Elephas maximus indicus: one gene and its partners. The main gene of each other region encodes a partner of the protein of the gene in region 2 in a complex. Links are inferred from orthologs where the notes say so. Each region holds a gene or a part of one and is shown on either strand. Other genes may lie near its edges.

The links.
Region 1: RAN (region 2) and XPO5 share a complex: the UniProt entries of both Homo sapiens proteins name them as parts of the nuclear export receptor complex. The link is inferred for Elephas maximus indicus from reciprocal best matches to the Homo sapiens genes RAN and XPO5.
Region 3: the proteins of RAN (region 2) and RANGAP1 are in contact, whole or in part, in a cryo-EM structure (PDB 9B62), measured with the Homo sapiens proteins. The link is inferred for Elephas maximus indicus from reciprocal best matches to the Homo sapiens genes RAN and RANGAP1. Residues at the interface, in NP_006316.1 of Homo sapiens: Asp18, Gly20, Tyr39, Val40, Ala41, Thr42, Leu43, Gly44, Val45, Glu46, Glu70, Lys71, Leu75, Arg76, Tyr79, Asp91, Thr93, Ser94, Arg95, Val96, Thr97, Asn100, Lys123, Asp128, Arg129, Lys130, Lys132, Lys134; in NP_001265580.1 of Homo sapiens: Ser29, Gly58, Asn59, Thr60, Asp86, Thr89, Gly90, Arg91, Leu92, Arg93, Ile96, Asp121, Ala123, Phe124, Gly125, Asp127, Asn151, Cys152, Gly153, Met154, Gly155, Arg189, Asn190, Arg191, Gln217, Asn244, Asp245, Asn246, Thr247, Asp273.
Region 4: the proteins of RAN (region 2) and IPO13 are in contact, whole or in part, in a crystal structure (PDB 3ZJY), measured with the Homo sapiens proteins. The link is inferred for Elephas maximus indicus from reciprocal best matches to the Homo sapiens genes RAN and IPO13. Residues at the interface, in NP_006316.1 of Homo sapiens: Lys37, Lys38, Tyr39, Leu43, Gly44, Val45, Val47, Pro49, Trp64, Gly74, Leu75, Arg76, Asp77, Gly78, Tyr79, Ile81, Gln82, Asn103, Arg106, Asp107, Arg110, Val111, Tyr147, Trp163, Arg166; in NP_055467.3 of Homo sapiens: Leu33, Tyr34, Tyr35, Ile39, Lys42, Gln46, Leu49, Met50, Gln53, Glu73, Tyr76, Phe77, Ser80, His83, Ile84, Ile118, Thr121, Arg122, Val125, Val172, Glu175, Glu176, Thr179, Ser414, Asp415, Arg784, Asp785, Pro787, Asp788, Pro829.

The regions. Positions count from the first base shown.
Region 1 is NC_064819.1:108,009,029-108,016,863, forward strand, and holds the start of XPO5 (exportin-5), read right to left. Parts: upstream 3,009-7,835; 5' UTR 2,831-3,008; coding exon 2,726-2,830; intron 2,362-2,725; exon of another isoform or gene 2,272-2,361; intron 1,521-2,271; coding exon 1,399-1,520; intron 144-1,398; coding exon 71-143; exon of another isoform or gene 64-70; coding exon of another isoform or gene 34-63; intron 1-33. Other genes in the region: POLH (DNA polymerase eta), read left to right, coding at 7,065-7,210, 7,450-7,584. UniProt on the Homo sapiens protein: Mediates the nuclear export of proteins bearing a double-stranded RNA binding domain (dsRBD) and double-stranded RNAs (cargos). XPO5 in the nucleus binds cooperatively to the RNA and to the GTPase Ran in its active GTP-bound form.
Region 2 is NC_064840.1:1,475,099-1,482,056, reverse strand, and holds the start of RAN (GTP-binding nuclear protein Ran), read left to right. Parts: upstream 1-3,958; 5' UTR 3,959-4,052; intron 4,053-4,581; 5' UTR 4,582-4,591; coding exon 4,592-4,627; intron 4,628-5,136; coding exon 5,137-5,221; intron 5,222-5,303; coding exon 5,304-5,429; intron 5,430-6,823; coding exon 6,824-6,958. UniProt on the Homo sapiens protein: GTPase involved in nucleocytoplasmic transport, participating both to the import and the export from the nucleus of proteins and RNAs. Switches between a cytoplasmic GDP- and a nuclear GTP-bound state by nucleotide exchange and GTP hydrolysis.
Region 3 is NC_064822.1:185,454,440-185,461,638, forward strand, and holds the start of RANGAP1 (ran GTPase-activating protein 1), read right to left. Parts: upstream 3,003-7,199; 5' UTR 2,753-3,002; intron 164-2,752; 5' UTR 126-163; coding exon 14-125; intron 1-13. UniProt on the Homo sapiens protein: GTPase activator for RAN. Converts cytoplasmic GTP-bound RAN to GDP-bound RAN, which is essential for RAN-mediated nuclear import and export. Mediates dissociation of cargo from nuclear export complexes containing XPO1, RAN and RANBP2 after nuclear export.
Region 4 is NC_064821.1:86,205,771-86,212,827, reverse strand, and holds the start of IPO13 (importin-13), read right to left. Parts: upstream 3,005-7,057; 5' UTR 2,328-3,004; coding exon 2,244-2,327; intron 530-2,243; coding exon 1-529. UniProt on the Homo sapiens protein: Functions in nuclear protein import as nuclear transport receptor. Serves as receptor for nuclear localization signals (NLS) in cargo substrates.

The DNA of each region.
Region 1 (7,835 bases), on a different chromosome or scaffold from region 2:
TAAATTGAAGAAGTCATGTTTTGTCTAAACTACCTTGGAAACACAAGTCTTCCAACCAACCATTCCTTACATTTGCAATCAGCTCCATGACACTGTTCTTCAGGTATACTTTCTCCAATCGAGACATGCTGTTCCATCGAAACCTGGCCACCAAAAAAGAGAAAGTCAGAAACAGAACCCATTAGAAGGCTTCTCTTCAGAAGAAACTAGTTTTGATTCCTGTGTTAGATTATGTTGGCAATTTCATTAGAAAATTATACTTTTGATTTTGTACCCTTCAAAGAATGGGCAAAAATAGTCCACATTTAACCAAAATGCTAGAAACAGAAAAATTCCAGGGGTTTATATATACAGCACTCCATTAACCGGAATTCACATAGGATTTATGCACACATCAGCTTCCCCCATGATTTTATTAATAGACTGAAAACAAATATACATCTGGGACAACTACAATATAGTCGTTTTTTCCAGAAAACACAATCTGATAACACCAACTACCTTATTACGCTGGTTTACAAGGTAATAACAGCACAATTCCAGAAAACCTGAGGCTAAGTCTTAAAAATGGATTTCTGTGATAGGCATTGGAGGAGTTTTCAGTTATTCACATATAATATTGCTTTGGAAGTGCCATTCAGAGACGGTACACACTCAAAACGTAAAAGAAAAGAAAATCAAAAGTAATGTCCAATCACAAATTTATTTATCTATACGCAGTATGGAAACCCTGGTGGTGTAGTGGTTAAGGGCTATAGCTGCTAACCACAGGGTCGGCAGTTCGAATCTGCCAGGTGCTCCTTGGAAACTCTATGGGACAGCTCTACTCTGTCCTATAGGGTCGCTATGAGTCAGAATCGACTCAATGGCACTGGGTTTGGTTTGGGTTTTATACACTGTATAATCCTAAAGAGGCTTTGAGATCTGCCGGCATATATAGATATTCAATAAATGCTGGGTGAGTGACTAGCAGCTATTATTTTTTGAATGCTTAGTATGTAGCAGGCACTTTACAGGATGAAGAAATTGAAGAGCAGAAAGGTTCAGTCTTGAATGAGAATTCCCTGGAGGATCTGATAATTCTGGGTATTATTCCTTTTTCCCTTGAAGAATGCTCTATTCTGCTTACTTAAAGAACATCTAGGGAGCCCTGGAGGCACGTGACTACTAACTGAAACGTTAGCAGCCAGTCCAAGGAAGAAAGATGTGGCAGTCTGCTTCCATAAAGATTTACAGCACTGAAAACCCTGTGGGGCAGTTCTGCTTTGTCCTATAGGGTGGCTATGAGTTGGAATCCACTCCACGGCAACAAGTTTTTAAAGAACACCTCTGAGTTATCCAAGAAATAAAGATTTGCTCTCTTACATACTTCAGTGGTAAACTCGTAAAATGCCTTACTTGACAACGTGTTCCAGGATCTGAAGGCCAAAATGCCTGACGATGGCAATTTGTGTTTTCTCAGCCAGCCTCAGGCCACACGGGACACAAATAGGGCACTTTTCTTTAAACTCTTCACAAAACTGAAAAATAAAAAGTTAGTGTTTCTCTTGGGCGTTAAGACAGTGTGGAGACTAAATAAGCTTCGTTCTAAGAAATTCTAATCTGATCAAATCTAGATTACTACTGTATGAGTAAAGAAATGATAAACATTTCTTTCACTCTGATGGTTCCAGATTTTCCATGGTACGGCCTTACTAATATTAAAAAAAAAAAAAATGACCTAAAGGAGTAAAAAAAAATTGTTAACGATATACCCCTGCAGTACATAAAAGTGAAATGACAATTTCTAGGATTTGTTATACGTCAACAAATCCTGCTGTATTTAGAACTTAAAAGTACAGAATTTAGGTGATGAGTATACCCAGGAGTCACTGCAGTATTATCTCTACTTTTCATGTCTGTTTTAAATATTCCATAACAAAAAACAGACTAATAGAAGCCAGTTGTTTTTTATTTCAAACCCTGGCGCATACATCCATCTACTGTAAAGTTTCCTCCAACTGGCGCTATTTTATGAAATTGCACACTTAAAATATATACAGCACAAATATTTTTTCTAAGCAGCCATTTCTCAGAGCTCACAAACATTGTTTGATAGGGGTATAAGCTCTTTTTCTAATAACATCCCCATTTGTACTAGGATTCCGGAATTGTAACACATGAGTCAGTACCAGGACCAAAGCATCCGGGACTCAAGAAAACTACTTTCAGGAAACCCAAGTGCCCTTGTTAAAATGCAAAGTAAGCGGTAGAAGTTCATCTTTGCTCAAGACTATCACACACTAAAAAACGTGGGGCGCGTAAGAACTAGCCCAGAAATGCCCAAGACACAGAAGAGGGGTCAGCGAGAGGTGTATGGATGTAAGTAAAGGTGTACTAGGTGGACTGGAGCTTGGTTAGGATGGATCAGGAGAGTGTATCAGTAGCGAAACGTTTAGTGCAGGGAAAACTCTAAAGAAAGAGATTGGTGTTGGGGGCGGGATCAACACGTGCGCCACCGGAAGGCGAAGAGATGCGGGATTTGGAGCGCAGCCTGCGTGAGGAAAACGGAGGGACGAAGGGCAAGCGCGGCGAGCAGTGAAGGCGGGGGAGGGAGAGGCGTGGACCGCCGCCAGGGAAGGCCCCCCCAAGGGTTGGGGAAGGAGGTCCAGGGGACCGGGGCCGGGGGAGTCGGGGTCAGGGGAGGGTCTCGGACCAGGCCCGGGGGCGCCAGGACCCCGGCTACCTTGAGGGCTTCCAGCCGGTAGCGCTGGGTGGAGCTGGGGTCCATCATGACCGTCACCGCTTTCACCAGCTGCTCGCACAGCGCGTTCACTTGATCCATCTCCATGGCTAGCGCCACGCGCCGCCAGCGCGCAACGCGGCCGTCCTGAGAGCACGAGGCACGGACGGCTCCCTTGGCGGCACCACAAGCTGGTACCGGGCCGCGCTGGGCTGGGGGATGGGGAACGGGGGGAGGAGCGTGAGCTGCTGAAGCTCGAGCCAGGAAGGTGCCGGCGCTGCGCACGCGCCCGAGCCGCCAGTGCGCACGCGCCCACGGAAGTGGCGGCAGCCTTGTGACGTTTACTGCGGTGGGCGGAGCGGGCGACGGAAGGGTCGCGGTGCGCAGGCGCGTCAACGGTCCTTATCGGAGTGCGCGCAGTCTGATCATCTGTCAGAAGGGCTTGCGGCTTAGCGCCTAGATCTTGGCTGAACCACACTCCTGGCTGTGCGGGCGCCTGCCCGGGCAAGGATCCTTCGCGACCCTTGGCCCATTTCTCTGTCGACACTGGGAATAGATCTCTCTCGAACAACTGGACTGGTCCTGGAAAGGCGACAAGATATTCAAGACCCTTTCATCTCCCTTCCAGTGGACTCCGAACCCAGCAACTGCGGCTTCCGCCGTTGACAGTTCTGCCAGGTGTTTATCACACTGGTAAGAGAGTTTAGAATTGTGCAGTATCAATGTTTTTAGACTTTTCATGCTGCCTTGGCTATTGGTTTTGTGATACAGCAGAGGCTGGTAACAAAATTAGCCCCCCCCCCAATTTTTTTGGGTGGGGGGGGCCTAAGTTACGTGAAAATAGAAACGTAGTTAAGGCCCTGGTATTGTCCTCTAAGGGGATTTTTCTTTTAGAAAAAATATTTTTCGCTATAACTCTTAAATCTCCCTCTTCACTTGTACTTACTTTCCTGGATATGTCATCATTTCATAGGCACCAAACTTGTTTTGTACATATTGGAATGACTCTAGATATTTAAAGATGAATAATTACAATTATTGAAGGTTCGTGTGGTATTGACAATTTGCTATATATACGATTTCAAAGTAGCGTAATTCTCGTTCCCAAAGCATGGTTTTGGTAGAGTGTGTTTCATTTTCCATCCTTAAAAAGCTCTTGCTTTCTCCACCAAAATACATAAACTGAACACCTCAACATCTTCATTATCTGTTAAAGCCTGCATATCTGTTTCTGTACTCACTAAAATGTTCACTGGGCTTAAATCACTGCTTCCTATGCACACTCCAGTTCTGATATTTGTATCTAATATGATACTTTGGGCTGTGCTGTTTTTGTTACAATGCATTTACTATTTTTACTCAGGCATTATCTGTTCCAGTACTACATAAAAGCCAATACAAAATAAAGAAATTTCTCACATGCTGTGGTTTTAACTTACACATGTTTAAAGTATCACATTCTGCCTGTTTTAGATGAGTGGTCAATAGGAATTTATAAGGAATTAATGCCTTGAATACTCTGATTTTCTTCATTCTTTGTTGCTCTTTCCACTTGTTCCAGCTTTGTAATTGTGTGACACTTTTTTTTCAAGGTGTATGTCAATTTTTTACAGGCTTTTTTAAGAATACAGTTGGGTGCTTGCTCAACTGTATAGCCTGTTTCTCAAATTTAAATCATCAGTTACTGGTGTTTGTTTCCATAGGTATCTTATTTACTTTAAGTTAGTGGTTTTCAAATTCTGCTGCATATTAGAAATGCCCAGGGGAGTTTTTAAAAATCACAATGCCCAGGAAGCACCCCATACCAATTAAATTAGAATCTCTGTGGGTGGAAACCAGACATCGGTATTATTTAAAAGTTCCCAAATGATTCCAATGTGCAACAAAGTTTGGGAGCCACTGCTTTACTTTTATTCCTTCTTCCAGATCAGTAACAATGTTAGATGATAACATTAGTCTGTACCCTCCCTCAAATATGTAGGGTGTATTCTTCCAACTACCATCCATTTCTTTGTTTATGTGTGTATCTGCGAACAGTGTGCAGTATTGTTTGTGTTCAAAGTTTACATAAATGGGTAGAAAATCACCATTAGAACACTACAATAATGATTATTACAGCAAGATCCACTGATGAGTGGTTAAATTAGTGGTGAAAGTTTGAGGAGAAGTAGGATATTATCATAGTCTCAAAGTATCTCCTTCAAGATGATCATTAGTTACAAAAGGAAAAATAGTAACTTTTCAGTGACAAATCCAGGGAACACTACCTTGTTGTTAGCTGCCTACAAGTGGTCCTGACTCATGGAAACCCCATGCACAATTGGATCAGACCATTGTGATTCATAGGGTTTTCAGGGGCTGATTTTCCAGAAGTAGGTCACCAGGCCTTTCTTTCTAGTGTGTCTTAGTTTGGAAGCTCCACTGAAACCTGTTCAGCATCATAGAAATACGCAAGCCTCCAATGACACTTGAGGTGCACCAGCTGGAGACTGAACCCAGATCTCCTACTGGAAGGCAAGACTCCTGGTTCGATACACTTAGAAAAGCTTGCCAAAAAATGCATAACCTCATTATAAATGTGGGAAAAGATCAGACAAAATCTTATTGAGACCTTCTCCAAATAACTGACCGGTACTCTTCAAAAGTGTAAAGGTCATGAAAAACAAAGACTGACTGAGAAAGTATATGGATTGGAAGAAACTAAGGAGACATGATGACTAAATGCTGTGCAGGATCCTAGATGGAGTCTTGGATCAGAAAAAGGACATTTGTGGAAAAACTTGTAAAATCCAAATAAAGCATGTAGTTGAATTTATAATATTATACCAATAATGTTCTTTTTTTTTAGTTTTGATAATTGTGCTGTGTAAAATGTTAACATTAGGGGAAACTATGTTTATGGAAACCCTGCTATTTTTGTCACTTTTCAGTAAGTTTAAAATTATTTCAAAATAAGACGTTAAAGTATTTACATAAATGTTAAGATGTTGTATATCATTTTCTGCTTCTCTTTTCCCTGAACTTATACTTAAGTTCTGTCTATCAGCTAGATTAGCTGTTGGCTCTATTCCCCTATTGATGTATATTGTGGTTTTAATTTGCATTGGCCCATGACTAATGATGTCGGGAGCCCTGGTGGCACAGTTGTTAAGAGCTCAGCTGCTAACCAAAGGTTGGTAGTTTTAATCCACCAGCCGCCCCTGGAAACCCTACGGGGCAGTTCTCCTCTGTCCTATGGGGTCACTCTGAGTTGGAATTGACGCGACGGCAACAGATTAATGATTTGAACCCATTTTCATGGGCTTATTGGATGTTTGTATATTTTCTTTTGTGAAGTGTTCATTTCTTTGGGGAGGTAGGTATTTTTAGGCCTTTATACTTATTATCTTCCTAAAACTGAACCAATTTATTCTGTCAGTAGTATAGAAAATGCTTGTTTCACTCTCGTTAGGTCCCAGTGTACTCATGGTGACTCTGTGATGGAAGAATGGCACATTGGATTAGGTATCCTTTTTTTTTTTTTGTGGTAAAATATACACAATATAAAATTTGCCATTTTAATCGTTTTCAAGTATACAATCCAGTGGCTGTAATCACACTCACAGAGTTATACAACCACCATCACTCTTCATTTCCAAAACTTTTTCATCACCCCAAACAGAAACTCTGTACCCATTAAGCAATAAGTCCCTATTCCCCTATCTTCCCAGCCCATGGTATCCACTAATCTATTTTCTGTCTTTATGCATTTGTTTATTCTAGATATTTCACATAAATGGGATCATGCAATATATGTCCTTTCGTGTCTGGCTGTGTCTGGCTTAGGCCATATAATTTTATGTTTAACTGATTGAAGAGCCACCAGTCTATTTTCTACAGCAGCTGCACCATTTTACGTTCCCACCAGCAATGGATGAGGGTTCCAATTTCTCCATATCCTTGCCAACATTTGTTATTTTTTAAGTAATAACAATCCTAGTGGGTGTGAAGTGGTACCTCATTTCCTGGTTTTGATTTGGATCTCCTTAATGACCAATGATGTTGAGCATCTTATCATGTGTTTATTGGTCATTTGTCTTCTTTGGAAAAATGTCTATTCAAGTCCTTTGCCCGTGTTTTGACTGGGTTGTTTGTTCTTTTGTATGATTTCCAAATATTTTCTCCTGTACTGTAGGTCGTCTTTCCACTTTCTTGATATTGGCCTTTGATGCATAAAAGTTTTTAACTTCAGTAAAGTCCAGTTTATGTTTTTGTTGTTGGTGTTGCTTGTACTTTTGTATTTAAGAATCCATTCCAATAGGTATCGTTTCTAATTGTCCATGAAATGTTGTTTTCCAGAAAAATGGCTACCACCTACCCTGGACAGGATCGGGTAGTTGCTTTAGTGGACATGGACTGTTTTTTTGTTCAAGTGGAGCAGCGGCAGAATCCTCATTTGAGGAATAAACCTTGTGCAGTTGCACAGTACAGATCATGGAAGGGTGGTGGGTATGTATCATTGTTATTGTTATAACCATCAATTACTCTTTCAATCTGTAGGGATATATGCTAGGTCTTATTTTTGAGATCTCTGAACTGTTGTGTTTATGATTGAATGGTGGCATCTATGGCCAAAAAGTTTGTACTGTTATAGGTTTATAGCCTGTTTATGTTGTTAAGTTTCTAATTGTCTTTGCTTGTCCTAATGGAATCATATTTTTCTGTTCTTCCTTTTTTTCTAACCTTAGGATAATTGCAGTAAGTTATGAAGCTCGTGCTTTCGGAGTTGCTAGAAGCATGTGGGCAGATGATGCTAAGAAGTTATGTCCAGATCTTCTTCTGGTACAAGTTCATGAGTCCCGTGGGAAAGCTGACCTCACAAAGTAAGAAGGAAAGTTTGTTTAACAGGGAATAGAAGAGTTGGAAATAATGTCTACGAGGCTAGGGACTGGTGTTTCAAACCTGTTTTGTGGTAAACAATGTCTGAAAAAGTTCCCCTTGGTCAGCCATCTTGTCTCTTTGAAAAGAAAACAGATTTTGATATTGCGTTTCAGGAGCAGCTCAGAGCCATTATAACCTATAACAGTTGCTACCCTTGGCACTGTTTTACTTCCCTAATGGTTTAAAAGTTGGT
Region 2 (6,958 bases):
AGTATCCAATGAGACCCAAGGCCCCCAGGCAAACAGAGACTAGAGATTACCTCCTCACAGCCAAGGGCAAGGTTAAATTTTACAGGACACATAGGTTGCCTGCTTGTCCTCACAGAATGGTATTTGGCTTCCCTCAGGGTGAGTGATCCAAGGAGCAGGGTGAAAGCCTTTATGACTGAGTCCTGGAAGTCACAACTGTCCATTCTGACATAGGCCATCTGTTAGAAATGAGTCGCTTGGACCTCCCTACACTCAAGGAGAGGGGAATGAGGCTCAACCCTTTCAGGGGAGGAGTATCAAAGAATTTGTGGGTGTATTTTAAAACCATCACATTTTTAAATGCTGGCAACCAGTTCAGATATAAAACATGTTGTGACCCAGCCTGGTCAAACAACACCTCTCAGGGTTGGAGTTAGTAGATAGGCCACTAATCTGTACCTTCTGTACTAATCTGGGAGCCCTGGTAGCACGGTGGTTAAGAGCTCAGCTGCTAACTGAAAGGTCAGCAGTTCGAATCACCAGCTGCCTCTTGGAAACCCCATGGGGCAGTTCTACTGTGTCCTATACGGTCGCTATGAGTTAGAATGGACTGGACGGCAACATGTGCACGCTTGACCATGTAATCTGGTCTTTAGATGAAAGAGGTGCTTGGTCAACCATGTTGCATGGAAATATGACAAATCTCACCATTTTGCTTTTAAGGAAAATAACGCTGGCGCTAATGCTGAGACCAAAAACCAAACCCATTGCTGTCAAGTCAATTCCGACTCATAGTGACTAAGAAGTAACATGTAATTTGTTCATTGTTGTGCCCCCTATGTAGAAAATTGAGTGTCAGATAAGGAAAATATCTCATTTGGTATTTTTGACTGGTGAATGAGTTAATAATGAAGTCTTTAAGGACAGCTTCTTAATGGTTTGCAAAGTCAACAAAGTTTGTGGAAATTGAATAAATGGAATAGCCTGGCCGTGTATCTGGTGAATGTTTTATTTGCTTAACCATTAGCCTTCAACATGAAATAGCATTAACATTTGAGTACGTTTATATATTTAAATCTCTGATTTTTACTAAACTGTAACGCTGCTATTTAGGATTACTCTTCCTGTGTTCAGGTAGAGTCGGCGTTGTGTCTCCCAGCGCAAACATGGGAGATTAGCTCTAGTGCACCTACCTAGAAATGGAAATCCAGGGCCACAGCTAAGGATACTTTCAGTTTTACTAGTTTCTGTTTTCCAAAGAGGCCGTAACAATTCGCACTCCCGCCAGCAGCATCTGAGTCTTCACTTGGCTTTTTCCTGAGGGTCCTATAGGGAACTTGGACTTGAGTTCCCAGCAGGCAGGTCCTCTGATGTGTTGTGTCCAATCTGCATCACTTGAGTTCCCAATATACTTACTTACAGGTGTGCTTAAAACTACATGCTAACTTCTTCTTGGTCATTTGGGTTCTCTTTGGCCAAGGAAGAGTCCTCATGGTGAAATCTTTTCTGGGGGAACTTGGCGAGTCCGATCTCTGTGACTAGCTATCTGTTCTTGCTGCCAGAAATGAATTGGGAAGGAGGTTCCAATACGTCAGTTAAAAAAATCTGTGCTTCTCTACACAGATGCCAAAACCTGACTTTAGACTCAGGAGACAAGGTTGGAGGACGCCATTCTGTCCACATCCTTACTAAAAGTGGGTGATGATAACAGCTAATGCTTGTTGAGCTTGCGGACCCTATGAGGTAGGCAACCCCATGGCATGTGAGTTCTGTCAGTGCACAATCTGGTCCGGACTGCTCATCACATTCTCCCTACAAGTGTCAGGAACCCAAAAACTTGTTGACTGCATCCAGGTTTTTAACTAGGATTAGAACATCTGCCAAGGTCCAAACACAGAATTTCCTCGTTCTGTTGGCTAGACATGACCACAAAGACTGACTGATCAGATGTGCTAAGACAAAAGTAGCTTGTGTTTCATCGTGGGAAAGTAACTATCAATCCTTGCTTCATTCACCCCTTCCTCTGCTGCTAACCCAAAGGTTGGAAATTTCAGTTTACCCAGAGGTGCCTCCATTGAAAGACCTGCCACTGAGAACCCTACGGAGCACAGTTCTACTCTGACATACTCGAGGTCCCCATGAGTTGGAATGGACTCCATGACAACTGGTATTGGTGCTGATGGAGGCCTGGGAGTAAGAAGATTGAACTCTGGAGTGAATGGGATGTAGACCTGGTTTTGGTAGGCCCTAGATTAGTTGTGGAAGAAACCCTGGTGGTACAGTGGTTAAGTGCTACAGCTGCTAACCAAAGGGTTGGCAGTTTGAATCCACCAGGTGCTCCTTGGAAACTCTGTGGGGCAGTTGTACTCTGTCCTATAGGGTCGCTATGAGTTGGAGTCAACTCGACGGCAATGGGTTAGATTAGGAGTAGGAGCTGTGGTGGTGCAGCGGTTAAGCACTCGGCTGCTCACCAAAAGGTTGGTGGTTGGAACCCAGTAGTCATTCTTCAGGAGAAAAATATGGCAGTGTGCTTCTATGAAGATTCAACAAACAAACAAAAAACCAAACCACTGCCGTGGAGTCGATTAAAACCCTATGGGGCAGTTCCACCCTGTCCTACAGGGTCGCCATGAGTGGGAATCAACTTGATGGCCATGGGTTTAGAGTTTTTTGTTTTTGTTTAGATTGGGAGTAAAGTCCCTCAGTGTCACAAGCAGTTTGTGACAAGCTATTAACCTAAAGGTTGGTGGTTCAAACCCACCCAGTGGCCCCTCAGAATTAAGGCCTGGCATTGGGCTTCCGGACACCCTCGTGACATACTGGTTAAGAGCTATGGCTGGTAACCAAAAGGTCGGCAGTTCAAATCCACCAGGCGCTCCTTGGAAACCCAATGGGGCAGTTCCATTCTGTCCTATAAGGTTGCCGAGTCAGAATCCATTCAGTGGCAATGGGTTTTTAATGAGCTTCCATAAGGAGCCCTGGTGGCACAATGGTTAAGCGCTCCACTGCTAACCTGAAGATTGGCAGTTAGAACCCCCCCACTGAGTGGCTCTGTAGGAGGAAGACCTGGCCATGTTCTCACATAAAGATTACCAGCCAAGAAAACCCTATGGGACAGTTCTACACTGTCACAAGGGGTCCCTATGAGTTAGAATCAACTATATGGCGTCTAAGAACAGTCGGCTTCCATAAAGATTACCAGCCAAGAAAACCCTATGGGACAGTTCTACTCTGTCACAAGGGGTCCCTATGAGTCAGAATCAACTATATGGCGTCTAAGAACAGTCGGCTTCCATAAAGATTAAAAACAAACAAAAAAACCAGCCAAGAAAACCCTATGGAGCGCTGAGAGCCCTATGAAGCCCAGTTCTGACATGACAGCGGATCGCCAGCAATCGGCACGGACCGGAAGGCAAGGGGCTTGGGTCCTTTTTGGTTTGGATTAGTAGTGGTTTAGGACTGGTTCGTTCATTCTCCAAGTGTTTGAGACCCTCCCTAAGCCCTGGGCACGCTGCGGGGAGCACGTGGTGACAGGAAAGGTCGGGGAGAGCATGTGGGAGACAAGGGAGGGATGGCTCGGAGCCCGGGACAAGCGGGGGCCTCCTGCACCATGGCGAACGCTCGCACAACTGGTACGCGTGGGTCGCTACGCCAAGGCCCCCAGCCCCCGGCACTGAGGGCCCGGTGCTCCGCGTGCGCCGGCCGCGCCCCGACTTTCCCGCCCAGGCCCGCAGCCCGTCCTCCGCCTCTGAGTCACGGCGGGAGCTGGGCGCGCCGGGAGCGCGTCGGCGCATGCGCCCGGAGTCCGCCGGGAACGGGACCGCGAGGGCCGGCGGGAGCGCGCGCGCCCACCCTGCGCGCCGCCAGCCCCGCCCCACAGGCCCGGCGGCTGCTACGGCCGCCCTCACCGCCTGCGTGCGTGCGCGCTCCCGTCGGGGCCGCGTGGGAGCGCGTCGCGTCGTTGCCCCGCCCTGAGCGCGCGCCGGCGTCGTCTGCGTCTCCGGGCATTTGAATTGCGCTTCCGCCATCTTTCCATCCCTCAGTCAGACGGGGCCCGGAGACGCTTCTCGAAGGTAGCGGCGGGCAGCGGGCGCTGGGGTGGAGAGGGCCGGCGGGCGGCCGGGGAGGGCCGGGGCCGTGGCGGAGCGGCGAGCGGAGGGCAGCGGAGGGCGGGAGGCGGCGGCCCTGAGGAGACGGTTAGCTCCGGGACGGCGGGCGGGCGGGCGGGCGGCCTCCTTGGCGCGCTTTCCTCCCCACAGCCTCGGGGCCGCCGTCCCTGCTCTCGTCCGGAGCTCCGAGCGGGCGGCGAGGCTCCGGGGCGGCCTCCGGGGGTGCGGGCTGCGCCTCGGCCTGCCCGGCGGCCCCGTGACCAGGCGCTCTCGGCCGCGCCCAGCCCTGGGCCCATCAGGCCCGGCCGGCGTCTCGGGCGTCGGGAAGGGCCGCCATGGCGCCCGTGCACCCCCGCCCTCCTCGGCCGCCCGCCCGCCCGCCCGCGGGATGAATGGGCCGCGGCCTTTGTGGCCGCGGCGGCACGTGGGGTGTCCAGGGTGGGCCGGCCATGTGGCGACCCGGCCGCGTCACGCCGTCCCCCTTCCTTTGCAGGACCATCACGATGGCTGCCCAAGGAGAACCCCAAGTCCAGTTTAAAGTACGTGGTGGCCCCTCTGGGCTGGTGGTGGCCCCTCTGGGCTGGTGCTGGCCGGGGGCGGGCAGGAGGGGCCGGGGCAGCGGCTGTTGTTGAGGGGATCCCTCGGTCCCTGCCAGCGCCTGCTGACCGGCCGCTTTGTGTGTGCTGACACCGCACGAGGTCCTTTAATTCTCTCTCTCCGTGACGGGGGAGGGGGGCTAGCCCTGGTTTGTGGGTGAGGAAACTCAGTAGGGCCGCCCGTACCGGGGGTTACATAATTCTTGGGAAAGACATGCTATTTCCGAGGAGTTGACCCCCATTTGGGTGGAAGGGGAGGACGTTATATGAAAACTGTCTTCGTGTGTGATTTACTCACAGCATTTAGATGTAACAGGGCCACGTAATAACTAAGTGTAAATATCAGTTAACTGAGTTAAAATACTGTCCAGGCACTTCTAACAACTCCGTGATTCCAGGCTTGTGAAATATATTTTGAGTTTGTTTCTTGAAAGAAAATTGTATCCCAACAGCTCGTATTGGTTGGTGATGGTGGTACTGGAAAAACTACATTTGTGAAACGTCATCTGACTGGTGAATTTGAGAAGAAGTATGTAGGTATGTGGGGGGAGAAAAGGGTCTGTGGACATTTTTATGAAGTGAATAATTCAGTGACTAATCTGAAATGTTTGTATTTCAGCCACCTTGGGTGTTGAGGTCCATCCCCTTGTGTTCCATACTAACAGAGGACCCATTAAATTCAACGTGTGGGATACAGCTGGTCAGGAGAAATTTGGGGGACTGAGAGATGGCTATTATATCCAAGGTAGGTGTCTCCTCTGTGACTTGAGTAGTTTTGGAAAGAATTTGTATTCTAGTGTCCAAAGTCCATTCCAGCATATACTTGGCTTAATTCTGGGTGTACTGGGGATTATATAATTACATTAAAAAAAGACATGCTGCCTACAGCAAGCTGACCATTGTTTTATAGGTGGAGGGGGAGGAAATACGAAAGTTGTCGTGTGTCATTTTATTTCATGCTTTGTCATGCTAGGTGTTATTTTGAAAAAGAAAACAAAATTATGATTTATACCGAGGCTCAAAATTTAAAAGCAGTAACAGTAAGCAACAGACAAGCTGTTGCTGCAACTTAAGTATTTGGAAATGTGGGTTCAGGTATATATTTTGGTGGTTATTAAGGATTATTTCTTGTTTGTTATGTTAAAACCACTTTGACCAGATACTAGGATCGGAGGAGCTAGGCTCTATATCTTACAAGTGTTGTATAAGACAACTAATTTCTCCTTTGTACCAGTTTTTACAGAATTTTTTCCAAAGTATTTAAGAACTGTAAAAGAAATAAATGGTCATTGTGGCACCAAACAAAACAAAGATGAATAAACAAAATACTAATTTTTCCTGAAATCTCACTTTCCTAATGCAGAGTTGTTTGAAAATGTCTACACCTTTTGCTCTGACCATGTGCAAATGAACACATAGGGTTTGTTTTTTAAGAAAGAAGTTATATCATGCTTGTAAATAGTCTGTAGTTTATTGCCTTTTTAACTATATTATGACCGTCCCTACAGGTCAATATATGGATTTATCTGAGGTTTTTGAAATAGAACTATACTATTTTCTAGTATACATTCAATAAATTTTATGAGGTTTTATTTTTTTTAATGAGGATTCCCAGGCTCCATGCTAGGCCCTTAATCTACTTCAGATACTTCCTGGGGAATGAGGCAGTGTTAATGAAGTATTTGGGAGGTATAGGAGAAGAAATTTATACAGTCATGTCTTTCAAGCTGTTTTAAAAAAATATAAAGGTGCCCAAAAGCAAGAAGAGAAGGCAGGAAGGGACAGGAACTGGATGAATGGACACAGGGAACCTGGAGTAGAAAGGGGGAGTGTGCTGTCACATTGTGGGGATTGCTACCGATGTCAAAAAACCAATAACGTGTATAAGTTCTTGAATGAGAAATTAACTTGGGCTGTAAACTTTCACCTAAAGCTCAATAAAATAAAGAAATAAATTTTAAACTATACTGTTATAGTCATTTAAGATTTTCAAAATTGAAAGAGCACTTGAAATAGAGGGCTGTAGATGACACAGAGCAGGCCTGAGATAACAGTCTCTCTGGTCCATGGCTGTTAGCATTTCTTATCTGTGTAGTAAACTCCTAGGTGTGTTCTAATCACTACAAGTTTTCCTTCCAGCCCAGTGTGCCATTATAATGTTTGATGTAACATCGAGAGTTACTTACAAGAACGTGCCTAACTGGCATAGGGATCTGGTTCGAGTATGTGAAAACATCCCCATTGTGTTGTGTGGCAACAAAGTGGACATCAAGG
Region 3 (7,199 bases), on a different chromosome or scaffold from region 2:
TGAAGGCACTCACCATCTTCCGCAGTGTTGAGTTTGAGGCTCTTGCCCTTGAAACTCAGCTGTCCCCCAGCCACCTGGGTTTTGGCCAGCGTCTCTGCCAGCTTGGCAATGTCTTCGGAGGCCATGCTGGCCACGCCAGTGGGCTCCCCTGGAGATCTGCAAACTGAGAAAGCACAAGTAGCATTAACAAAGGAGTCTCCGGAGGCTGGTGGTTGAAGGGACAGGATAGAACATCACCCGTCTCAGAGACCTGACCCCACCTCCCCCTGCTATGGAGGCTAAACCACCAGGAGAAATGAAAACAGCACAGGAGAAGCAGCAGTTCTAGAAAAGTGAAGGAGGCAGCAAAGACACAAAAACATCACATCTCAGCCTCTGAAGAGCTGTCATCTCACCACAAGTCCTCCTCTGCCCAACTGCCCAGCTGGGGCCACCTGGCAGAGCCATGTGATCTGCCCCTGTTCTGGGCCCCCAGTGAATGGCAGCTGAGTCCCAGACCAATGGCTGCAGAGAGTCTGCCCCAAGCACACACCCGACTCATCATCTTGGCTGCCGTCTGTTTGAGGGTTCCATTCCTCAAACAGGACACAGATGGCTATGGGATCCAGGTCATCCATCCCAGGGAATGCCCCACCACCCACGCTGGCATAACTCTGGGGGTGGGGCACGAAGGTAGGCCCACTGCACGCCTAGGCTCAACCTTGGCTAGGAGCCTGGGCAACCCATGGGGGCCAGGCCTCAGAGGTTCCCAGGAGACCAGAGCACTCTACGTCACAACAGCCACCATCACAATAGGCCAGGGACAGCACTGCTAGAAAAAGGAGTTTCCAGCCTGGAGCTCAGCAGACCGGCAGAAAAGACAACTCCACTTCCCCAAAGAAGAGATGGCAGGTAATCAGGGGGGACCAAGGAAGAGAGCTGATAAATGATTCAGAATTCAGAGGTATCCATGGAGAGACTCCTGCCCAGAACTCCTCCCCCAATCCAGCCATCCTCAAGACGCAGCTGTGAGAGCTCCCCAATCCTCCCACACCCCCAGGTCTCCTCCAAACAGCCAGCTTCCCACCCCCTTCTCCTGATCTGAAGTCTCATTACCCTGGTTTGTCTGTGTCTGTTTGTCTTTATCGGCAAGCTCGGTTTATTCTGGATATAAGCATCCACTCATTCATTCAAGAAACGTTTATGCATCACTACTCTGTGTTAAAAGGAGCCCTGGTGGCGCAGTGGTTAAGCACTTGGCTGCTAACCAAAAGGTCAGCAGTGGTTTGAAGCCACTCCACAGGTGAAGGATGTGGTAGTTGGCTTCCGTAAAGATTACAGTTTTGGAAGCCCCTGGTTCGAAGCCACTCCACAGGTGAAGGATGTGGTAGTTGGCTTCCGTAAAGATTACAGTTTTGGGAGCCCTATGGGGCAGTTTTCTTCTGTCCTACAGGGTCACCATGAGTTGGAATTGACTCTGCAGCAACAGTTTTTTTGTTTTTACTCTGTGTTGGACATGGTTCCAAGTACCAAGAGGACGGCAGTAAGAGACAAAAAGCCTGCCCTTGTAAAGCATATGTTCTAAATAAGATATTTAGTATGTTAGTGGTAAGAAGAAACAGGAAAGGGAGTAAGGAGTTTTTTGCAAGTTAAAGCAAAAACGGTTAGGGAAAGTATTATTAGGAGACAATAAGATCTGAAGGCTACAGGGACTACACCCTGCAGGTATCTGGGGAAGGGATTCCTGTAAAGGGAACAGCAAACACAAAGGCTCTTGGTGGGGGAAGGAGAGGGGAGTTAGGGGAACTGTGAGGAGCCCCTTGGGGCTGAGCAGTGAGGGAGGGAGAAAGGAGGTATGAGCAGGAGGCCCAAGTCACGAAGACCATTTAAGGACTGTGGGTCTTACTCCAAGTGACAAAACCACTGGGAGTTTCTAGCAGAAGGATGTGATGAGGGACATGATGTGCCCTTAGGTATGTTTTGACAGATCACTCTATCTGCGGTATAGGGCCTGGCCTTTAGAAAGTGCTGGAAGAATGACTGGATGAAACTGAATAAAAATTACCACCACCCCCTCTTCCAGGGCTGGGATGGGGCAATTTGAAGCTGGAAGCCTGGTGGTGGGGCTTCGAGGTGGAACGGGGACACAGATCTTCTCAGCTGGAAGGAGGCCCACACTCAGTCCAGTCGACCCCTCCCACCCACTCTAAAGACGAAAAACATCGAAGCACAGAGGTGAATTGATTTGTTCAAGGTCAGCAAGGGATCAGCAGCAGAGCCAAGGCCACCAGTAAATACGGAAACAGCCGCCTCCCTTCTCGGCAGGAGCGCAGGGACTTTCTCAGGTGCAAACGCATCGCTCACCCAAAAGCGCCAGCCGTGACTCACACCGATCCCCGGGGGCTGCAGCGCCCTCCGCGGGCCGTGGGCGATGGGGACGCGGCGACGGGGGAGCGACGCGTGAAAGCAGGCCTTCGGTGACAGGCGAGCAGCGCGGGAGCCCCACCCGGGATCGCCACCGACGCCACTGCTGGCAGCTGCGGGCTGGGCGGCCTCGGTCGGGCGAGTCGGGCGTCCTCTCTGAACCTCAGTTTCCCCCTTTGTGAAAGGGGCCAGCGCCCCCCACCCCACCCACCTCACCTCCGCGCTCGGCCGTCGCCAGCATGAAGGAGGAGGCCGAGGGGACACCGTCCTCGCCTAGGTCCAAGGTCGCCCGGTCGCCCCTCTCCCATCCCAGGCAGGTGACGGGAAAGGAAAAGAGCCCCGAGCCTACCGTAAACAGGCGGAGCCGCCGCGTGGGGCGACCCGAGCGCGCGCCTCAGCCCGGCAGGGCCGGGAGCGATTTAGGGTCCGGGTCAGGTCAGGTCGGGGTCGCCGTCTCTAAGTCCTGGAGGCTCGATGTCCAGCCCGCACGTCTGTCCGCTCTCCCACAGCTTCTAGCCACTCACGTCTCCCACACCACCTGCTCCCCACACGGCAGCGGATGATGGCGGAGGAGGAGGATTTTGAAAGCCGGCAGTTTCTTTCCTTCGATTTGATTTGTTCGAGGCCCAGGCCGGCTTCTCCATCCCCCGCGCGCGTGGCCTATCGGGTAGGGTAGTCTAGTTCTCCTGCGCGGGGGAGGCAGGCGCGGCAGGAGCGGGCACTATGAACTACCACACCCATGATTCATTGCATTCCAGAGTGCCCCCCCCTCCCCCCGCCTCTCCCTCTTCGCCCTCCCATTTCGGCTTCTGGCTCATTCTCTCGGAGACCACAGGGCGGCGCTTAACCGGGAACTCCCAGAGAGACTACAATTCCCCTAATGCCTTGCGGCGGGCCCCTCTCCGCCTTTCCTGAAAGGCTCCTGTTCTCATAACTTTATTGACAAAGGCTGGGGCTGCCAGAGGCACGCTGCTGGATGTTTTCAGCAACAAATAGATATCCGTTTCTTGAAAGAAAAGACTCGTCTTTTTTGTCGCATAATATCGAAAGGAAATTCGAAGACTTTCACATAAATAGCCACAAGTTATTAAAAAGTAAAAAAAGGAAATACGATCTCTGTAGGAGAGATACTGCGGACACCACCTTAACCAAGGGGTCCACGTTAACATCAGACAGGACGAACTGACCTCTTGCGACTCAGATGTAATGCACAGAGAAGACGCAGCATCACCATCCTGTCAACGGCACAAAAAATGAATCTAATCATGAGGAAACATCGGACAAACCAAAACTGAGGGACATGCTACAGAATAACTGTTCTGTACTCTCCCAAAAATGTCTGTGTCAGGAAAGAAATAAAAAATGAGAAACTGTTGCAGGTCATAGACTACAAAGACACAACAACTAAATGCAATAAGTGGTTGGATTGGTTGCTGGAAGGGGGGGTGCTATAAAGGACAATGTTGAGACAATCAGCAAATTTGACTGTATATTAAATAGTTTTTTATTGTACCAGGGTTAAGTCTTCTAATTTTGATTATCGTACTAGGTTATGTAAGTGCAGTGCAGTGAGTTACTTAATATGGTCCTTCTACCCATAGTCTTTGTAACTCCCACCAAATGACTGAGTGGAACTAGACAAATAAGATGCTTGTAGCCCATCAAAGGGATTGGATAGCCTGCTAATAATGTAAATAAGGCACAGGGCACCCTTGTAGGGGTGGGGCCATGCAAATAAACCCTAAGGGGGGGATTGGCCAGTTTTGTCATCCTGCTAGGCTTAAAATGAGCCCTCTTAGAGGTGGGAAGGCAGGTTCTCACCACCACCAAGAAAGAAGAGCCAGGAGTAAAGCATGTCCTTTGGACCCAGGATTCTTGCACAGAGAACCTCCTAGATCCAGGAGACAGAGACCACTGTAACACCCGAAGATGGCGGCAGAGAAGCGGTGGCACAGAAGCGGTGGCTGGGGCAGCAGAACTAGGAAACCGGCAGGAGATGGTGCAGTGGGCTTCCCAGCCCACAGGTTGAGAAAATGGAGCACCTTCAGACAGGAAGCTCACTGGCAGATTGGGGTGCCCCTGGACACTTATCAGCAGAGCTAAAAGAGTTTTGTAACTCTTGCCCCAGCAGGGTAGAGACCGAGGGCCAGAGAGAGGCCTGCCTGTGGGCATAGCCAAGGAGCTATCCTGAACAAAGAAGTATGTCCTGAGTAGTACCTGATTCTGAATTGTAACCTGTTACTTCCCTAATAAACCCCGTAACTGTATGGTTAGTGGGTTCCGTGTGGCCCTTGCAACGCATTATCAAATCCAGCAGAGAAGTAAGACAGTGCCATGGGAGGAATGGTTGACGTCAAAATTGGTAAAATGGTCAGAGGGTGAGGGCATATATGACCTCTGCCTCACAGGAATCAGCCTTGGGTTGTTGATCTTCATTCTCCTTCCCCCTCGTGGAGTTAGAGGAGGCCAGTCACCCTGCCACACCGTTTTTGTAGTAAGAGACTGCCTGTGTTCTTGGGAAATATCTACTGAACTAATTAGGGGCAAAGGAACATGATATCTACAACTTACTCTTAAATGGTTCAGAGAAAGAAAATACATACATATAAACAGTTGTTGTCAGGTGCCATCACGTCAGTTCTGACTCAGTGCCCCTATGTACTGCAGCACGAAACGCTACCCAATCCCGCGCCACGCTCACGGTCCTTGTTATGCTTGAACCCATCGTTGCTGCAGTTGTATCAGTCCGTCTCTTTCAGGGTGTATGAACAGAGAATGATAAACGTGACAAAATATTAACAAGTGAATCTGGGTGAAGTGTATCTGGGAGTTCTTTGAATGTTTTTGCAACTTTTCTGTAAGTTTCAAATCATTTAACCACAAACAGCTTTGGGATAGCTTTTAAAAAAAAAAACAAATAGATTTTAACCATTATATTATTATAACATGGGGGCCCTGGTGGCTCAGTGGTTAAGAACTCAGGCTTCTAATCAAAAGGTCAGCAGTTCGAATCTACCAACTGCTCCTTGGAAACCCTATGGGGCAGTTCTCTCCTGTACTATAGGGTCACTATCAATTTTTGTAATCAATTGGAACCGACTCGATGGCAATGGGTTTGGTTTGGTTTATAGATAACATGCGTTTGTTATAAACAATGCAACCAATATAGAACAGGAGAAAGAAAAAAGTAACTGGGACCTGAAACTAACACGAGAGCTAATCTGTGGCAGCCTTCTTTTCCATGTTACCTCTCACAATCCTGCCCACACACACGCATTTGCTTTACTGGCAATTCAGGGTTAAACAGATCAGGAGCCACACCCTTTCACATGCAGCTAATTTAATCTTTACAATCATGAAGGAAGTGAGCATCATTACCACCCTTCAAAGGCAAAGCTGTGAGGAAACTGAAGTCCAGACCTAATGGGACTTTGGGTCCTGGTTCACCCAGCTACTGAGAGGTAGCACCTGCCCCATAGGTCCCCTTCCATCCCATCACATTGCCTGCTCTCCCTCTCCTTCTCTGCCTGCAAGGTCCATATCAAACAGCACCTCATCTAGGAGGCCTTCCTGTGCCACTCCAGCCAGAATTAGCCTTGCTCTCCTCTGGGCCCCCACAGCAGTTAGCTTTCTCACGGTCAGAGGTAGCAATGTTCTTGAGGGCTTCTTCCCCAGACTTCGAGGGCCTCTGAGGACGGGTACTGTAGCCAACCTGGCAGCATCCCCTCTGGGCATCCCCACCACAGGCGCTTCGGTTTTCCTCCTTCGAACTGGATTCCAGTCAGGCTCACCGGATGTTTGCTTAAAATGAGTCATCATCGGAGACGTTAGAGACACTCCCAGTTAGGCCTGACGCCTGTGTGATTCCAGCTTAAACAAAACCAAACCAGCTGCTGTGGAGTCGACCGTGACTCACAGCGACCCCATGTGTCTCAGAGAAGAACTGCGTTCCATAGTGATTTCAATGGCTGATTTTATAGAACTAGATCGTGAGGCCTTTCTTCCAAAGTGCCTCTGGGTGGACTCAAACGACCAGCCACTCAGGTGGTAGCTGAGTTAATTGTTTGCAACACTCAGGAACTCCTGATTCCATCTGTTGTTGTTAGGTGCCATCCAGTTAGTTCTGACTCACAGCGACATCACGTATAACAGAACAAAACGCTGCCTGGTCCTGCACCATCCTCATAATCACCGTTAAGCTTGAATTCGTTGTTATAGCCACTGCGTCATTCCATCTCGCAGAGGGTCTTCCTCTTTTTCGCTGACCCTCCACAGATGATGTCCATCTCTGAAGTAGAGAAAACATATTTTCTTTAGTGTTTTAGTATTGAAGTAGAGGGAATATATTTTCTAATGTTTTAATATAACTGTAGTCTTTGAAACGTAATTACTTGCTCTGGAATCTGTCCCATGATTGTTCCTTTAAAGACAAACAAGGTAATCCATTTTTAGTTGCTGATTAAACTATGTTCCTCTCCCAAGGAAAAAAATACGCAAAACTGAGGTAGCTGAATAAAGCTTAGATCCATCTTGTGACAGAAACCAGGATGGCATGAAGAGACTTGCAGGACTCCAGGATGGCATGAAGAGACTTTTCAGTATTTTCCCCATTTATCACGGTGTTGCTTATTGGTCCAGTTGTATGACGGTTTTTGTCTTCTTTATGTTGAGGTGCAATTCATACTGAAGGCTATGGTTTTTGATCTTCATCAGTAAGTGCTTCAAGTCATCTTCACTTTCAGCAAACAAGGTGTTATCTGTATATCGCAGGTTGTTAATGAGTCTTCCTCCAATCC
Region 4 (7,057 bases), on a different chromosome or scaffold from region 2:
GTAATGGAAAGACAGCCCCACACTCCACCGCCAGGCTGGCCCGCACCAGCCCTTTGCGGTATTGGGGCAGGCGACTGGTCTGGAACTCCTCGGGCAGCACTGTCAGCAGCTCTAGCAGGGCCAGGCAGCGGCCCTGGCCATCCACTGGTGAGTCCTCAGCCTGGAAGAGCCGTACCATATCTGCCACAGCACATGGCCAAGCGTCAGGCATCATGCTGAGAGCCAGCGAGGCCAGTGCCACACAGAGACGAGTCAGCACAATCTTGGAGCCACTGGCAAAGTGGGTGATCTGGGTAAAGAGCTGTGCCTTTAGGCTTTCGTACTGGTCAGTGGGGATGTCACTCCAGTAGCGAGAGATTTTGATGTGCAGGGCACTGGCCCCAAAGTACTGGATCTCAGGCACCTTGTCGGGCTGCAGTAGCTGCCAGCTGAAGTGCCAGGCCTGTGGGGAGACCTGGGCCTGCATCAGCCACTTCTGAGCCAGGTTCTTGTTCTCAATGTTGGGGTCATAGTAGAGCTGGTGCAGTGCCTGCAGGACAGCACAGGACTGAGCAGATGCTGGCCACTCTGGATCGTGCCAGAGCCCAGAACAGAGGGCATGATTTGGTCCTGCAAGACTGCCCCCCTCCCTGACTGGGGGGCTGGGCAGGAGGGAGAGCTCAGGGCTCGGCAGTGTTTCCTGGGCCCAGGGTCCTCTGATATCTTGAGAGCCTGAACCTTGCCCATGCTCTACCATACTCTCTTCTTGAAGCAAAACGTATGAGTTCAAAGAGGGAACCCAGGAAAGCAGGAAAAAAGGAGGCTGAGATCCCCAAAGGAGAGGCACTTGAGGTAAAGGGCAAGGTCCAGGTGGAAGGAATGGCTCCGTGGGGAAAAAGCCAAGCCTGAGAAAAGCATGGCGCAGCCTCAAGGGCTCTGACCCTCCCAGGCACAGCTGCTCCCATCAGCTCCAACAGCTCCCTTCAGCTCCCCCAGGATCATCCCTAAGTCACTCCAGATGCTGGCACCAAAGGCAGTATGAAATCTGAGCAGGACTTAGACTTTGCCAGGCAGCCCTGAAGCAGAGATATACTGGAGGGGAGAGTGAGAACACCTCTCAGAGAGCACATGTGAGGGTCCAAGTCGGTCCAGAGAAGCCTTGGCCACAGCTGCAGCCCTGGAAAACGTCTAGCCTTTAGATCTCAACTAGCAGAATCCTCAGGGCCCCAATTCCACTGGGACTTCACGCAGTAAGAAAACAGTGGCTTATCTCCCCGGTAGCACATGGAACCTTGCGCCACCATGCCAACACTGCCCAGCCCTAGGGGGTGGGAGAGTGAGGCCAAGACACTGACCCCTAAGAAGGCTCCACCCAAGTAGGCTTAGCCCTATCTATACCCCTGCCAGCCAGTTGTCTGGCTCCTCGGGATGCTGAGGCAGGCAGAGAACAGAAGCAGAAGGGATGCATTCTCACAGTTTGGCATGGCAACAGGGTTCAAGAATAAGTACTGAATATCTCCAGCCTCTGCTTCCAGCAAGGTGGCCCCAGGCATTTCCCCACTCATCCCAGGAGGCATGCATTCCTGCATTCCAAGCCCCTGGAGACAGAACCCAGAAAAGAACCAGAGAAGCAACCCCAAAAAAGGTGGACTAAGCAGGAGGGCAGCCTGGGAGGCCCATGGCAAGGGGTTATGTGGGGAGGTGAGTAGGGAAGCGTCCTGTGAAGCTGCCAGCAGGGCCAGGCCCCTCCGACATAGCACAAAGTAAAGGGGACAGCCACTCCCAAAGCACCCTTACCAAGGAAGAGCAAAAACATAACCCAGATTGTTTTAATTCCAGATTATTTTCGGAGCCCCAGGTGCAACAAAGTCAGGGTCCAGGATGGTCTAGCGCCTGTATGGTTCCTGGGAACTAAGCTGCACATTTGCTGGGTTCCTGGTTTCCTACTGCACTGCTCATGCAGTTTCCATGGAGCTGGAGCGTGGCCAGCCTGCCTTGGAGGTCTAAGCCATCAGCTCCCTGAAGCGACCATCCCAAGACCCTACAGTATCTCTCCACAGGGGACCCGTGTCTAAGGAAAGACAAAAATAGCCCATTAGGAGACTGCAAAACTGCTGTCCTGCCTGCCAAGAGAGACAGCAAAAGCCAGGTGCTCTGGGGCACCATCCCAGCAGGCATCCAGCCCAGGCCTAGGCTTGGGCTTCAATGTCAGTTCCCAGAACTTCTGCTCTGTCACTGGAGTGCCCACCCCAGGGCCCTCATACCTTCTCCACGTTCTCCACAGTGAAGTCCAAGGCTGATGCTGCTCCAGCCCCTGCAGCCCCTGGCTGCTCCTCCCGCCGCTCCATCTTTGCTCCCTCCCCAGTAGGGAGGTAGACCCTGACCTTTCTCCTGCCCCAGCCCCTTGGCTGCTGACGCCCTGCTAGACCCCAGCTTGGGTACCCAGGGAGTGGTAGGGTGACGGGGGACCCAAGGCAGGCATGGCTACGGAGGCCTTCCCACCTCGGCTGGAGGTGGGGTGCTTGCCAGAGATCAAAGGGGGTGCTTATATGAGGAGACCCCCTGAGGAGGACTCCCAGGAGAAGGCAGCCGTCTGAGTGGAGCTATTAGGCGGAGGTCCTAATGGTAGGTCACGGCTCTATCCTCAGAATCTGTGAGAGGCAGTCATGGGGGAGGTCTGTGAGGGAAACCGAGCCCCTGGCCCGTGAGGGATCACAGGGTCGTTGACCTGTACCTACAACACCCTCATCTGGGGGTGCTCTCGGGTCCTACGAGGAGGTCACGAGGGTGGGGAGATCACGGGGGAGAGAGCCTTTTGCGGGTTACGGAGAAGTCCAAGGAAGCGCGGGGGTGCAGCTTTGAGAGCTTGGGACGAAGGGTCCGTGGAGTTGAGGGTCTGTGGCAGGTCCCCTCCGCTCGGCCTGGCCCACGATCTGCTCACCGCCCAGCTCCGGCCCCTCTACCGCCGCTGCCTCCGCCCCAGTGACTGACAGGCGAGCTGGTCCAGCCGGGACGGGGCGGGGACCTTGGCAAGCGCAGGGTGCCCCGAGCGCCTGTCCCCGGCCCCGCCAACACAAGCCCCCCCCCCCCGCCTGCCTTGGCCCACCCCGACCCGGCACAGCCCGGCACGGTCCAGCGGAACTGCGCGGAAACTCATTCCGGGTCCCTGGCCCTGTCCTCGCGCCAGTCTGCGCGACCCCGAGCAGGCGACGGAGCGGCTCGCCGCCCGAGGCCCCCGCCGAGCCAAGGCCCCGCAACTGTGCACTCTGGGAAGTGTAGTCCGTGTTGCGCCGAGCCGGAGGGCGGTGCCTGGCGGCGGAGGCCGGGAGCACGTGGGCCAATATCCGCTGAGTCCCGGTCCGCCCCAGGCCTCCCGCTGACTGCCGGCACTTCCGGACAGGCAGTCGGTGGCGCTGCGGAGCAGATCCCGAAGAGGTTGTGACTCAAGGGCCCGGTGGGTGGAGGTGGGAGCTCGGGGCTGTAGGATCGAGGAACCCAGTTCACTCTGGTTGCTCCGCTCTGGGCGCAAGCGTCAGCACCACCCAGAGAAGTGAGGGGACTTGGCGCGCCTCAGGAAAAAAAAAAAAAAAGGATGTCTCGCTTGGCCACCCAGACAGCTAGCAGGAATCCACATACCATGGACAGTGCTCGGAGAATTCCCTACGGTTTTTGGAAACACCACCACTCGTCTGTGAGTTTGTCGTACTCTGGAGGCTTGCGTGTTGCTGTGATGCTGGAGGCTATGTCACCGGTATTTAAAATACCAGCAGGGTCACCCGTGGTGGACAGATTTCAGTGGAGCTTCCAGACTAAGACACACTAGGAAGAAGGGCCTGGCGACATAATTCTAAAAAAAATGGCAAGTGAAAACTTTTTGAATAGCAGTAGTACATTGTCTGAAGGAACAAATCTGTCTTGGAAGAAGCACAGCCAGAATGCTCCGTAGAAGGAAGGCCGGTGAGACTTGACTCACATACTTTGGGCATGTTATCCAGAGGGATCAGTCCCTGGAGAAGGGTATCATGCTTGGTAGGGCGTCAGCAAAAAGAGGAAGACCCTCTAGGAGATGGATTGACACAGTGGCTGCAGCATGAGCTCAAACATAGCAACAATTGTGAGGATGGGGCAGGCCTGGGCAGTGTTTGATTCTGTTGTCCTTAGGGTCGCTATGAGTTGGAGACAGAACCTAACAACAACAACTTGGAAACAACTTCTCTCTATGAGTAATTAGAATAAGAATAAAAAACCAACCCAGTGCCCTCGAGTCGATTCCGACTCATAGTGACCCTGTAGGACAGAGTAGAACTGCCCCATAGAGTTTCCAGGGAGCGCTTGGCAGATTCCAACTGCCGACCCTTTGCTTAGCAGCCTTAGCACTTAACCACTATGCCACCAGGGTTTCCAGAATAAGAATAGCTCACCTTTAACTGCTAGGAACAGTACTTTGCATATTGTAGGTCCATTTCTCTCAGCAACTCTAAGGTAGGTGTTTTCATTCAACATTTTCAGATAAGAAACAGGATTTGGGGAAGGTTAAGCAAATCTTGGAAGTCCCTGGGTGGCTCAGATGATTAAGTGAACCAAAAGGTTGGTGGTTTGAATCCACCTAAGCACCTCAGAAGAAAGGCCTGGTGATCTACTTCCAAAAAATTACAGCTGTTGGAAACCCAATGGAGCACAGGTCTACTCTGAAAAACATGGAGGCTCAATGAGTCGGAATCGACTCCATGGCAACTTTTTTTTTTTTTTTTAAGCATATTTGTCCCTAGACACATAGCTAGGGTGGCAGAGTGGGGCCTCAGATCTGGTTTGCCCCGGTCCAGAGTCCAGCAGTCCCTGTGATACTGCCTTTCACCACTCCAGTTTGTTCCTTAGTTAACTCCTGCCAGCTACCCCAGCAAGAAAAAAAAAAAAATTAAAAGGGAAAGGACCTCTGTACTGTCCTAAGGCCTGAGAAGGTGGATGAAGTCTTCCTGAGAAGGAGAAGCTTGATCTGAGCTTGAGGAATAGAGTCTGGGGAGGAGGGCCTCTCCATATGCTGGTAAGCAAAGTCCAGGGAGAAGCTAGTCATTCAACAAACCTTTATCGAGAAAGTATTGGAAGAACAGCTAGTAATTTGTGTTCTGCTTCAGGGTATATATATATGTGGGGTGAGGAGGTGGGTGGAGGTTAGTAACAGAGATGAGGTTGAAAAGACAAGTTGGAAGCAATAGACTTCTGTAGTTTTTAACCTAAATGCAATGTGAAGCCAAGATGAGTTTTAAAGTGAGCAGTGATGATTGGATTTGCATTTTAGAAAATCTGTTTGCATAATGGAGGGTGAATTGAAGGAGGAAAGAGTAGAGGCAGGGGACCTTTGGTAGGAGTAAACCAAACCCATTGCTCTTGCTTTGATTCTGGCTCTTAGCGAGCCTCTAGGACAGAGTAGAACTGCACCATCGATCTTTTGGTTAGCAGCCAAGCTCTTTACTGTGCCACCTGGAATCCTTAGGAGGAAACAGGAAGCCAGAATAAAGTGGGTGATTCCAGACCTGTGCCTGGGTGGGGGAGGATGTAAAACGCTCTGGCTCTGGTGCTGCTTTTACTGTTGGAAGTGGGGGGAGGGAAGAAAGGGATAGTTACCTTTCAGCATGGGAGTTTAAGAGCACAGATTCTGGACTTAGGCCTGGGTTAAACACCTGGCCCTGCCCCTTTCTAGCTATGACTGCTCGGCTTCTTCTGAGACTCACTTTCCTATTAAAAAAAAAAAGCATAGTAATTCCTCCAAAAAACAAAACAAAACAAAACCCGTTGTGGCATCCTACTTCCAGTAAAGGACAAATTGAGGTGATTGACGAGTAGGGCTTGGTCCAGAGGCCACAACTTGGTTAATAGGAGTTTTCTTCCTACTTCCAGTCCAGGGCTCCTTCCTCTCACCCCGGAAGTCCCCCAGCAGATAAAGAAGCTAAGCATCACCAAAGTGGTTCCTGAACATGCTTCACAAATACCACCTAAGGCAGATGGACTAAAGTAGGCCCTATTGTTGTGTGCCCTCAAGTCAATTTCGACTCATGAACTGTGTAAGGTAGAGTAGAAGCGCCCCATAGGATTTCCTAGGCTGATATCTTTACAGGAACAGATCACCAGGTCTTTTCGCCCTTGGAACAGCTGGTGGGTTAGGATCGAGGACCTTTCAGTTAGCATCTGAGCACTTCACCATTGTGCAACCAAAAAAAATCTGTTGCCACCAAGTCTATTCTGACTCATAGTGACCCTATAGGGCAGAGTAGAACTGCTCCATAGGGTTTCCAAGTATGTAATCTTTATGGGAGCAGATTGCCACATTTTTCTCCCAAGGAGCAACTGGTGGGTTTGAGCCACCAACCTTTTGGTTAGCAGCCAAGTGCTTAACCACTTCACCACCCGGGCTCCACAGCAGGCCCCTACAAAAAAAAAAAACAAAAAAAAAAACCAAACCCCTTGCCATCAAGTCAATTCTAACTCATAGCGACCCTACAGGACAGAGTAGAACTGTCCCATAGGGTTTCCGAGGAGTGGCTGGTAGATTCGAACTGCTAGCCTTTTGGTTAGCAGCCAAGCTCTTAACCACTGTGCCACCAGGGCTCCAAGTAGGCCCCAGGAAGGGCCATTTCTTGGGAATCTCTATTCAAGGGGGGCCTTTAGGAGATGACAGTGCAGGATAGCTTAGAGCCAGTTGTAGAAGGTATGAGTAGAATGTATAGGTGTTAGAGCCTATGACAGTCTGGGAAGGGCCCGCAGATTCAGGAAAGAGCATCCCAAGGAGACAGAGCCTCTGTTGGGCACCTGGTGCCACCACCAATCCATGTCCATGTCCATGTCAAACTAAGTTCTCAGTCTGAAGTTTTTCACTCTACCAAAATAGTGTGAATTTGGACTGCAAAACCTGATGGGAGCCTGCTTGTAGATGCAAGTTCTTAGGGGAGGCTTTTTTCCCATTCTACTTAGCACCAAGGTCAGATGCAGGCAGTTTTCTTTGTAGTTCCCAGGTTTTGCAGGGGAGGGTAGGTAGGAGACGGACAGCTTTATTTCTAATTCACCCTTAAACTGTGGGCATGGC